Linked DNA regions of Macaca mulatta. The protein of the gene in region 2 interacts with the protein of the main gene of each other region in a pairwise test. Links are inferred from orthologs where the notes say so. Each region holds a gene or a part of one and is shown on either strand. Other genes may lie near its edges.

The links. The genes of interacting proteins can lie anywhere in the genome.
Region 1: the proteins of RBPMS (region 2) and C14H11orf87 interact in binary tests that used the Homo sapiens proteins (3 or more experiments, as listed by UniProt). The two-hybrid records come from large-scale screens. The link is inferred for Macaca mulatta from reciprocal best matches to the Homo sapiens genes RBPMS and C11orf87.

What each region holds. Positions count from the first base shown.
Region 1 is NC_133419.1:110,243,332-110,248,653, reverse strand, and holds the start of C14H11orf87 (uncharacterized protein C11orf87 homolog), read right to left. Parts: upstream 3,109-5,322; 5' UTR 2,980-3,108; intron 1,885-2,979; 5' UTR 1,624-1,884; coding exon 1,030-1,623; 3' UTR 1-1,029.
Region 2 is NC_133413.1:32,158,523-32,163,753, forward strand, and holds the start of RBPMS (RNA-binding protein with multiple splicing), read left to right. Parts: upstream 1-1,992; 5' UTR 1,993-2,553; coding exon 2,554-2,619; intron 2,620-5,231.

The sequences.
Region 1 (5,322 bases), on a different chromosome or scaffold from region 2:
AAACCAATAGTACACGCTAACTCGATTGTAGAAAAAGAAGAAAGAACCCAACCAAAAGCCAGAATAGTCATTTTCCAAAACAGCCCCTCCTCCGCCTTCACAACTAGAGGAAGTAATCAGAACGGTGAGGCGACTTCAGCACCAGACCTGGCTGGACAGCTCCCAGATCCTCTGTAAATTCTGAAAATGTCACAGGTCAAAGGTGTATGGGTGGGGGCGGGGCAGGGAGTGAAAGCGTTAGCTTTTTTAAAAAACTCATTTAAAGATTTTAACGTACTTATGCTCGGCCAGCGAGGGTCATTTTAAAAAGTAAATTAAAGGTTCTGTCCTGGAAAAGGTAATAGGTAATAGTTAAACAAAGGGTGAGAAATGGGCTGACTGGCGAGGGGTACCTGTCATAAACACTTTCTGGGGACTATTCTCTATGCCCTCTTGCAGTCCTGGTGCTTAATGTAGACGTTTTCTTTATAATATACTATTGCCTGAGCCCGGCTGAGGGTGGGAATGGGGAGGAGAGGGAAGCTAAAGAAAAAGTGAAAGCTTAGGGGTCAGAGGGGAAGGAAGGAAACTAAACCTTAACTTGACAGCTATGTACATTACCGGGCCCCCTCCCCTCCCTTTGCTTCGGGAATCAATGCCTTTTATATATTTGGTAGCTTGTGCGGTTTCTCCTCCTAATTGAGGGGAGCGCGGATTGGAGTGGGAAGATGCATCCTTCATTGACAATGAGAAATTATGTGATTTGTCATGCGCTTGGATTGTGTTATTAGTATTATAATAATTACTATAAATATTAATAAAGTATTATTATCAGCGTTATTTCTTCTTCCGAGACTTTCCTCGCCCAATATTTACAAATACCGCACAGTGCCTCGGCGGAGGAGAAACAAGAGTAAGGGGAGGGCAGGTAAGGAAACCAGGAAGAGGAAAAGAGGGGCCAGAGGAAAATGGAAAAGGAAGGAAGGAGGAAAAAAGCAAGGATGGCAAAGATGATGGAAACAAGGACGGGGAACGAGAGGGGCTAGACGATCAGGACAGTACCACCGTTTGCAAAAGGCCCTCGCCAGCTGTGTCCAAACAGGAGGAAGCTGCGTGTGCTCCTTGGGGACTGGAGGCTGGCGGTGGAGGCGGAGGAGCACAGGGACCCTGGCACGGGAGGCCAGGGGACGAAGAGGAGGACGACGAGGCGTTGGAAGGGGCACAGAAGGGAGAGTCCCGGGGCTGCCTCTCCAGCCGGGTTTCCTTTGTGTGGGTTGGGGCCTGCCTGCCAGGTCGGGGCAGACCCCCGCCACCGCGGCTGCCGCTGCAGTGATCCCGCTCATATTCCTCCTGAGCCCTCTGCATCTTCCGCTTCTTCATCCTACGCTTGTGGATGTGGAAAGTGGAGAGGGACAGCACGATGAGGCAGAAGATGAGGGTAACCAGGACAATCAGCACCAGCGTGGAGGAGAAGGACTGGAAAAGCTGCTGTCCCACCTGCGTGATGCAGGTGCCGCTGCCACCTGCGCCTGGGCCGCGGGCACCCGTGTTGCCACTGCCGCTGGCGTTGGGGGAAGCAAAGGTCCGGTTGAGGAGACACGGCGGCAACGCCAGCCTCAGCTCCTTCGGCGCCCTGGCACTCATTGGCGCGGGGCTGGGAGGGGCCGGGCCCACTAGGCTTCCCCTCTTGGGCACACTGTTCCCACCAGCCAAGAAGAGGACGGAGCCCACGCCACCCAAAACTGCTCCCTGTAGAGGGAGGGGGTGTGCGAGCAAGCCAAGGACTAAGGGAGCAACTGCTGGCAAGCAAGGCGACCAAGGAGTGAGCGGCGCCCGAGAGATCCTCGCCGATCCCACCTGGAACGCGTCTTCACACGCGCACCTTTCCTTCGCGGAGGCACCAGGCTGCAAAGACACAAAGCTTAGTTAGAATCTCGACCGCTGCCCAGGGGAGTGCGGTCGGGAAGAATCAACCACCACCGCAAAGCGGCCCTCTCGGCACGCTGCCTGAGCTGGGCGCTGCCCGTATTTTCGGTCAGCGGACCCCAGCCTGCCCACCCGTGGCCGTGCACCAGAGCCACCAGCAGCCTGCTCACCCCACTCGACAGGATGGGGTCTACGCCGGCACCGCGGAGGTGCAGATTACTCAGCAGATAAGGCAACCTCCCTTCCGCCCTTCACAACTTTATAATTGCAACAGACAAGCAGCCGCTTCGGATTGAAGTCCCTACTTCCCAGAGCTCCGGCTCTCCTCTTTTCTGCGCCCTCTCGGTGGATGTCTTCGCCTGGATCCCTCCCCTCCCAGCACCCACTCCGGGCCACCGCGGGGGCTCCGGGTACGCAGTCCTTCCTTTCCCTCCCCCTCCAGACTTGCCCTCCCTGGACGGCATCAGATCCCTTGGGTCCCATTCCCAGGGGGATACCCCTGGAACCACATCCCACTCTGCCTCTGTCCGCGACCGCGGCTGACGAGCAGGAACGCGCTCCATCTCTTCTCCAGCCTTCTTCCCTGGCATTCTCCCCTCTCCAAACAAACAAAAAAAGCAGCTGAAGCATCTTTCTCAGCCGACACATTCCCACGAACGGCCCCCTCCTCCCCATCTCTCTATGCCCCCAACTTGGCAGTAGCCTGATTCTTTCTAGAGGAACTGGAATGGAAAGAGGAGGGTTCCCGCCTGCAAAGTTTGGGGAACAGACCTTCTTTCAGTCCTTCCTAGACCCAGCCCGAAGGCCCCGAGGCTTTTCCGGCGTACCGGAGCCGGTAGACCCGCAGCGCACAGGAGAGCCTCCTTGCTGTTCCCAAGAGGCAGCTGCAAACTGTTGCACTGCGGAGCAGCGAGGCAGCGCACAAGCAAGCCGGGGCAGGGGCAGAGGCCGGGGCCGGGGGCTGGAGCTATGACCGGGGTGGCTGCACAGGCCGCGTGAGCTGTCCTCCCCACTCGCGCCCGGCCGTCAGGCCACCCGGCCATCAGAAGCCTTTAGTCACACCTTGTCTCTTACCTGGACCGCCAGCTGGCTGCAAGGAGGGAGCCCCCGCCGCGCGGCTGCAGTGGCGGCTGCAGAAGGCGCGGATTGAATGGGCCAGAGACCGAGCCGCGCTGCTGCTGCCGCTGCCGCCGCCTTCGCCGCCGCTTCAGCGAGCTGAGCTCGCAGCCTATTGCCAGAGAGGCCGGTGACGTCAGGCAGCCACTGCCAGGGCTCCAAGCCACCCCTCAGGCCCCCACCCACCCTAGCACCCCAGCACCTTGTCCTAGCATAGCGAGCCTCTGACAGACACTTCCCAGTTCGCTGCCCTTCTCCAGCCCAGGAACTAGGAGGAGCAACCCCCATCCCCACCCTGCAAGCAACCCACCTTTCTCACTCTCTTGCCTAGGAAGAGTTGAATCTTCAGTTCTCCAGCTGTCTGATTTCGTTCTAGAGCTGACCCTTTGGTCCCAGAATCACACTTTTACACCCTGGATAACCATTTCCCATCAGTGCACAGATCAGACTTTCTCCCTGGAGGCTAATGAAAATTTCCCCCACCCCCAATTCCTCTCTGTGCTGCCCCTGGTTCTGAACATAAACTGCGTGCATTAGATGACAGGGACATTTCTCAACACAGGTGTGACAGAACCCAAAACACAAACCTGAACAAATTAAACAATTGAAATTAACCATTTTTCTCCCCTGGAGTTTCCAAGTTATCTTTCACTCCATCTGATTCATGATCCTTCTTGCAGCCCTCACATCCTCATCTCTAGGCCCCAGACTCACTCGATGTATTAAACACTCCTTCTATTCTGTCACTCTAGACACTCATGAACACACAAAGCATAGTCTTACAAGGAAGAAATATGAAATTATTCACAGGAAGGCAGAAATGAACTGCTTTATGAAAATTGCAAGTATTTGTAGCTTGCACAAAGTACCCCTTCATTGGCCCTAATTCTTGGTAAAGTGTTTGGAGCACAACCTTTTAGCAAAATGGATAGAACTTCCAGAAAAGAACTCAACAGACTCCCTAAATCTTGGAAGAGACTAGTTAACTATTGGTTTAGGAGGCTTGGAAAAATATGAATAGTGCATTTAGTTACAGAATCCAGCTTTGAAATGGAGTATGCTCATTTTTCTGTTGGAGAAGCTAGCTGGGAACAGTACCTAAAGACATTGCATGGTTTGAAGGCACTCAGGTGTATTACTAAATGTGTATTTTCTTCTTTCCTCCTTGTTTTCTATCTTTGAGTCTGGCACAGTGCCTTATAGCTTACTTGATAAATTAAATGATGCAGTGTATGTTGTTGCTCTTTCATGCTATGCCTCAGAAATGACTGATGCCCAGTTATCTGCTTGTATTTGCTGTATGTGTAAAGAAAGAGGGTCTGACATGTGGAGGAAAAGGCTGTCTGTAATCTGGGGGTCCCTTCTTCTGACTCTCTGTTTAGGCTCACATAGTCAGTCACTGATGTCTGCCCCCCGCCCCCACCCCAATGGTAGCATCACCTTCCTGCCTGGAATGAGAGTACCAGATGCCTGCAATAGCCACGTGCCACATTTGGACAATTTGACTTTGGTGGGCTCAGGGGATAGAATGGTGAGCCTTTTTTTTTTTTTTTTTTTTTTTTTTTTTTTTTACTCTGTGATTAAGTGACATTTTACCATTGATGCCTGACAGGCAATGCCCCATTTTTTCACACTCGCTTTGCTCCTGAAAAGTTGAGTCTAATAAACATTTTGTAAAGCAAATCCAATTTAGATTCTCCAAAAAGAGATCTGGCTATTTCAAGAGACTCTTCAGCAAAAAATAAAAGTTTTTTAAAAAATGTTATTTTGTAAAGCAAAGAATTTTTACATAATTAGAATTAACTCTTGGCCATGCATGGTGGCTTACGCCTGTAATCCCAGCACTTTGGGAGGTCGAGGCAGGTGGATCACCTGAGGTCAGGAGTTGGAGATCAGCCTGGCCAACATGGTGAAACCCTGTCTCTACTAAAAATACCAAAAAAAAAAAAAAAAAAAAAAAAAAAAAAGAAAGAAAAGAAAAGAATTAGCCAGGCATGGTGACAGGTGCCTGTAATCCCAGCTACTCGGGAGGCTGAGACAGGAGAATCGCTTGAATCCGGGAGGCAGAGGTTGCAGTGAGCCGAGATCGTGCCATTGCACTCCAGCCTGGGCAGAAAGAGCAAAGCTCCATCTCAAAAAAAAAAAAAAAAAAAAAAAGAAAGAAAGAAAGAAAAGAATTAACTCTCAATGGTCTGTTTTCTAGATCTGAAGGAATTAGTTATTGGGTTTTCCCTATGGGGAACATACCTTTACAACATGTTGTAATGGGATCGCAATATGTATGTAATGGAATTCTTACAC
Region 2 (5,231 bases):
CACTGTAGCCTTGTCTCTTCTGAATGTCTTGGGTTGCAATTTCAATAGACTTGGTTTATTTTCATCCAGGATACATGTTTGTTCCCCTTAGAGAGAAATCACATTATGACAGCAATTAAAAAACATCTTTTCCCTATGGAAATCTTCCTGTTTCAAAATCTCCAAACCCCCAAGATAAACCCAGTATGTAAATCCAGGTATCACTACTGTTTTTCTCATAATGCCCTTAAAGCAAATATTTTCCTCGCTTTCTATAATCGGAAAGAGGATTCTGAGAGTATCTTGGCTCCATACCACTTTATTTTTTTGTCTTTTCTTTTTTTCCCCTCTTTGTGGAGAACAGGGTCTCACTATGTTGCCCAGACAGGTCTTGAACTTCTGAGCTCAAGCAATCCTCTTTCCTCTATCTCCCTAAGTGCTGAGATTCCAAGCGTGAGCCACCGTATTACTTTAAACTCCCTAAAGGGAGGGTCCTTATCTGCAACGCCCACAGCCGCCCCCCCCCATCCCCAGCAGCACTTAAATCAGTATAAAGAATGTCTGCTGGGGGGTGGGGAGAAACAGTTAAGCAAATACTGTAGTTAGAAACTTACTGGTGCAGGACAGGAGCAGCAGGCTGGGACGGAGAATTCCTGGGAGTAAGAAGTGGGGCAGAACCCACTGATACATGGAGTTCCACATTTATACATTTGTAGCAGTCAAATCTAAGAGTTTAACACAGTGGTTCCAGACGGTAATTCCATCAGTTTGGGAGGCCAAAAGCCGGAGGATCACTTGAGGCCAAGAGTTCGAGATCAGCCTGGGCAACAAAGTGAGACCCTCATTTTTCTAAAAAAAAAAAAAACCAGAAGCTTTAACGATCGAGTATTGGAAAAGCTTTCTAAGGCCCGGGAAAAATGGAAGTTTCCTTAATAATGTTAGCTTCCATGTACTGTAAACCTAAACGAAGCAAGAATGAATACTGGGTGCTGTACATAGTTCTATCAACCTACAATCTCGAAAACGCTAGGAGACACATTCAGCTGCTCCCATTTAACGGATGAGGAAACAAGTACGCAATCCTGAAGTTGGTGCAAAGCCCAGGCCCCCTTTCTTCTTCAAGCGTGCTTCCAGCCTCTGAAATTCCTCCGTGTGGACCCCGAGCTCTGCCTGCAATGAGGAATATTCACTTTGCCAACAAATATTTATTGAGTGCCTACTATACACCCGGTAGCTCGTTTAAATAGCCGTGGGATTAAAAAGATAAATAGGGTAAGTTTGTGGTTTTTTCTTCCAGGAAGGAGCTTTCTGAAGGGTGAGGGAGAGGCCAAGTAAACAATCCCAGAACAGTCGGGTGAGAGTTGGGAGAGGAGTCGGGGGCCGCGGGACGCCCAGGCAGCGAAGCGGGGAAGGCTCCGGGCGCGTCGCAGGACCCGCGCTGGAGATGGGTTTGAAGCCCTGTCCTGAAAAAGCCGGCCCGGAGGGGGCTGTCCCCAGTATCCCTCGAGTTCTCATCCTGTCATTCAAGCAGCAGGGGAAGAACCGGGTCTGGCTCGGGAAGGGTGGGCTTAGGGCCAGGGGTGCAAATCCCTTGGTAAAAGCCGGCAAACAAAAGTCGCACACATCCCAGCTCCCGGTCCTGGCCCCGGCGGGGCAGGGTCCCCGAAGTCCCGGGGCGCGCAGACGCCGGGGCCCCCGGGGGCCGAGGGAACTGCAGTACCCGACCTCCCCTGCCCTCGGCCTCCAGGGCCCTCGCCCTCCGACCAGCCGCCGAGTCTGGGGCTGGGGTCGCCGCTTCCGCCCGCCGCCCGCGGCCCCTCCCCGGCGCGCGCCATCCGGCCGCCGGCCCCTCCTCCCGCGGGGGGCTCCGTCCCGCGCCCCGTCCCTCCGGGCTGCAGCCGGCAGCCCACGTCCAGGGAGGGCGGAGGGAGGAGGAGAGGCGCGGAGAGGAGGGAGGGGAGAGGGGAGGGAGGAAGACGAGAGAAAGGGAGCTGCTTCCATCCCGGACTTCCCAGAGCCTGCCTGGAGCGCGCACTCAGCGGCTCTCGGGTCCCAGCGTCCCAGCCGCCGCCCGCGCCTCTCCGCCCCGCTCCTCCTCCTCTTCCTCCTCCTCCTCTTCCTCCTCCTCCTCTTCCTCCTCCTCCTCTCTAGGCACCCCCGTCCCCTCCTTCCAGCGGCTGCAGCCCCCAGCCCCAACTCTCTGCGCTTACTCCTGGGACGCGCGTTCTCGCCCCATCCTTTGCTTCCTTCCTTCCTTCTTCCTTCCTCCCCTGGCTCCCGCCCTCCCTATCCAGGTCGCCCTCCCGGGGCCCGATTGTCTCGGTGCCCAGCTCTCGGCCCGCGCCCTGCCCCGTCTCTCCCTCGTACTTCCTGAGTCGCCCGCCGCTGCCGTCGCAGTCTCGCCGCGGGAGCCCCAGCCCGACAGCCACTGCCCCGGCTCCAGCTCCAGCCCCGCAGCCCGCGGCGCCCGCCCGAGGGAGCCCCGGCGCCCGGGGAAGGCTACAGTGGGCGAGCGCGCCCTCGCCCAGCCCCGCGCCCCAGCCCTGCCCGGCCCGGCGAGGAAGGACCGGGAAGATGAACAACGGCGGCAAAGCCGAGAAGGAGAACACCCCGAGCGAGGCCAACCTTCAGGAGGAGGAGGTACTGGGCGGCTCGGTGCAGTGGCGGGGGCGATCCGGGACCCAGTGCGGGCGGCCGGCGGGGCGCGGGCGCGGGCCCGGGGCGCGGCGGTGGAAGGTTTAGGCATGGCCCGTGCCCGGGACGCAGCCCCGCAGTGTGGCCCGGGGAGGGTGGATCTCGGGAAAGTGTGTTTTTGTGTCCACGCGCGTCTGCGGGCCCCAAATTGCGTAACTCTAAGGACTTTTCGGAGACTTTTGTAAGTATAATGCTCAGCTTTGTTTGCCCGGGATTTAAAAAGTGGAACCGAGAGCTGACTCCTGGGTGACCTCAGATGATCGGGACTCGGAGGGTCAGGACTTAGGGCTGGGGCTGGAAATTGTGTGTGGATTCGGGGTAGCGGGGGGGGGCAGTTTAAGGAAGAAACTTGGGGAAAAGTTTTCATTAAAAGATACCTCTGTTCCCTGCCCCCTCCCTTTCCGTGTTAAAAGTTCTTGGTGAAATATCTTTCTAGCCGAGGGTTTTTGGATTAATAGATAACTCATCAGCCACATTCTTCTCTGCTGAGTCAAAGACCCCGAACCTGGGCGGTGAACGCTTGCGAATTTAGGGCCGTGCAGATGAGGGGAGCAGAATAAGAGGGTTAAAAACGCAGCAATTCACCAAATGCTCATCGAGGATACTTTTATAGGACTTTGACTTCTGAGCACGCATTTTGGGTGGTGCGTCTTCACGATGAAAGTTTTGTGACTGCGGAGCGTTCCTTCGGTGGAAACAAAATTGAGTAGATGTAGTCAGAAGGGGAGTCGGACTCAGGAACAAACGTTTCAGAATTCAGTAGTAGGGTATTTGTGGTATCCTACCAAATGACTGTTTCTGCAGGTACATTATCTGGAGTCCAAGAAATTACTTCTGGCGTACTTTTTAATATCACACACAGTTGAGTTCTTAACATTCTAGAGGAACTTGAGAGTGTGTGCAGATGCAGGAAAGTGCATGGCTCAATATGACCCGAAAAGATTCACACAGGTATTGCATCCTGATCTAGGTGAACACAGAAGGTAAACGGATTCTAAAGCGTTAGGACGTTGAGATCATTGTTGAGACACTGTTGTGTGCAAACTTCAATTCTGATAGTGAAACCAAAATTGCAGAGGAATTCATTAATGCATACAAGTTCTCTGCACATTGTCCACTTGGGAAATGGGAACTATTTAGGTGGAGAAGGTAGAGGAGCGAGACTATGCCAAACAGTGCAAAATCGGAGATTTTACTCTCTTACCCAGTTGTATGGTAGTGAAAACCTAGATGAGTTGCAGTCAGTCAAAAATTGCTTTCTCACCCGAGGACATTTTCTATTTTATTATAAAAGACTATTTGAAGAGTTGTTTACATGCATGTTTTCTAATTACAAGTGTAGGAATGCTACTGGCGTTTCTTTTTTCAAAGCAATGGAGAGTTGAATGGTATGTTCTGACTTTTTTTCTTGAACTTTACTGGCTGCTTTGCTATTTATTTTCCCTACCACTTAAAAAATTTTAAAAATAATGCTTTTTTAAATTTGCTTTTTTAGGAATTACTATAGTTAACTAATTCACTTACCATATCAAAATAATTATCGCTTCAGAAATCTTCCTATTTCAGCTAAATGTGCAATCTGTTTGCTTCTCAGGGTTAGAATATTATATCAAACCATCTTTATTTACCCAGTTGAGAAAACTTTTTTTTTTTCCTTTTGGTGGGTAGCAAAAGAGGTTCAATGTCCTAAAAATCATACCCACTTAAAATTAAGTATAGAAAAGGCACATTTTTCCGCTTGACCCATCTTAACAGCTGCCAGGACCGAGGGATTGCCTGCCCTGTTCCTGGACGCTCCTCTGTCCTTGCGAGGTTGTGTGTAATAATTGCTGTATAATCGCGGACCATTGCAGTATGGTTGCTGCCTCTTACTTGTCCTGTTACCTGACAGTGTTCTTTTTCAGGTAGGAATGGCATGTGGCTCTAGAAAGTATGGATATTTTTAGCAAAACACTTGTTATGTAAAAAATAAGGGGACTGGTAGGAAGATTTCAGAACCTAAGTTGTCCAAGAGATGTCGTGTACAAAACAGATAAGACTGTGAAGAGAGGGGGTTTATAATGTCAGAAATTCAGGAAAAGAAACTAAGGTGGCCTGAATGATCCGGGTAATTTTGCCTTAATTTCCTATTTTTGGTTTATATTTTGTTCTTGAAAAACTCTTACCCTCTTTTTTGGTTTTTTTCTTTCTAACCCTGAAAGCCACAATTAAAATAAATAGGGTATTTGGTAAGTGCCATTAATGAGCCCGGCATTACACAAAACCACTACATTGACCCTTTCTCTGCCCACCCATCGCATCAGCAACTTGCTCTTAAACACATTTAAAAACCTTGGCAGTGGACTCCGGTAAACAGAACACACACATACAACATATATATATATATATACACACACACACATAATGACAAGAGAGGAAAAATGTGTTTTGTTGTAATTTCTGGTGGCCATTGAACTGACATGGAAAAATGAGTCCAATCGTCATTAAGGGAAAATAGTTTATTTCACAGATCATGAGGGTGATTTCGGCTTTCTCCACATTGAATCCAGGTTTGTTTT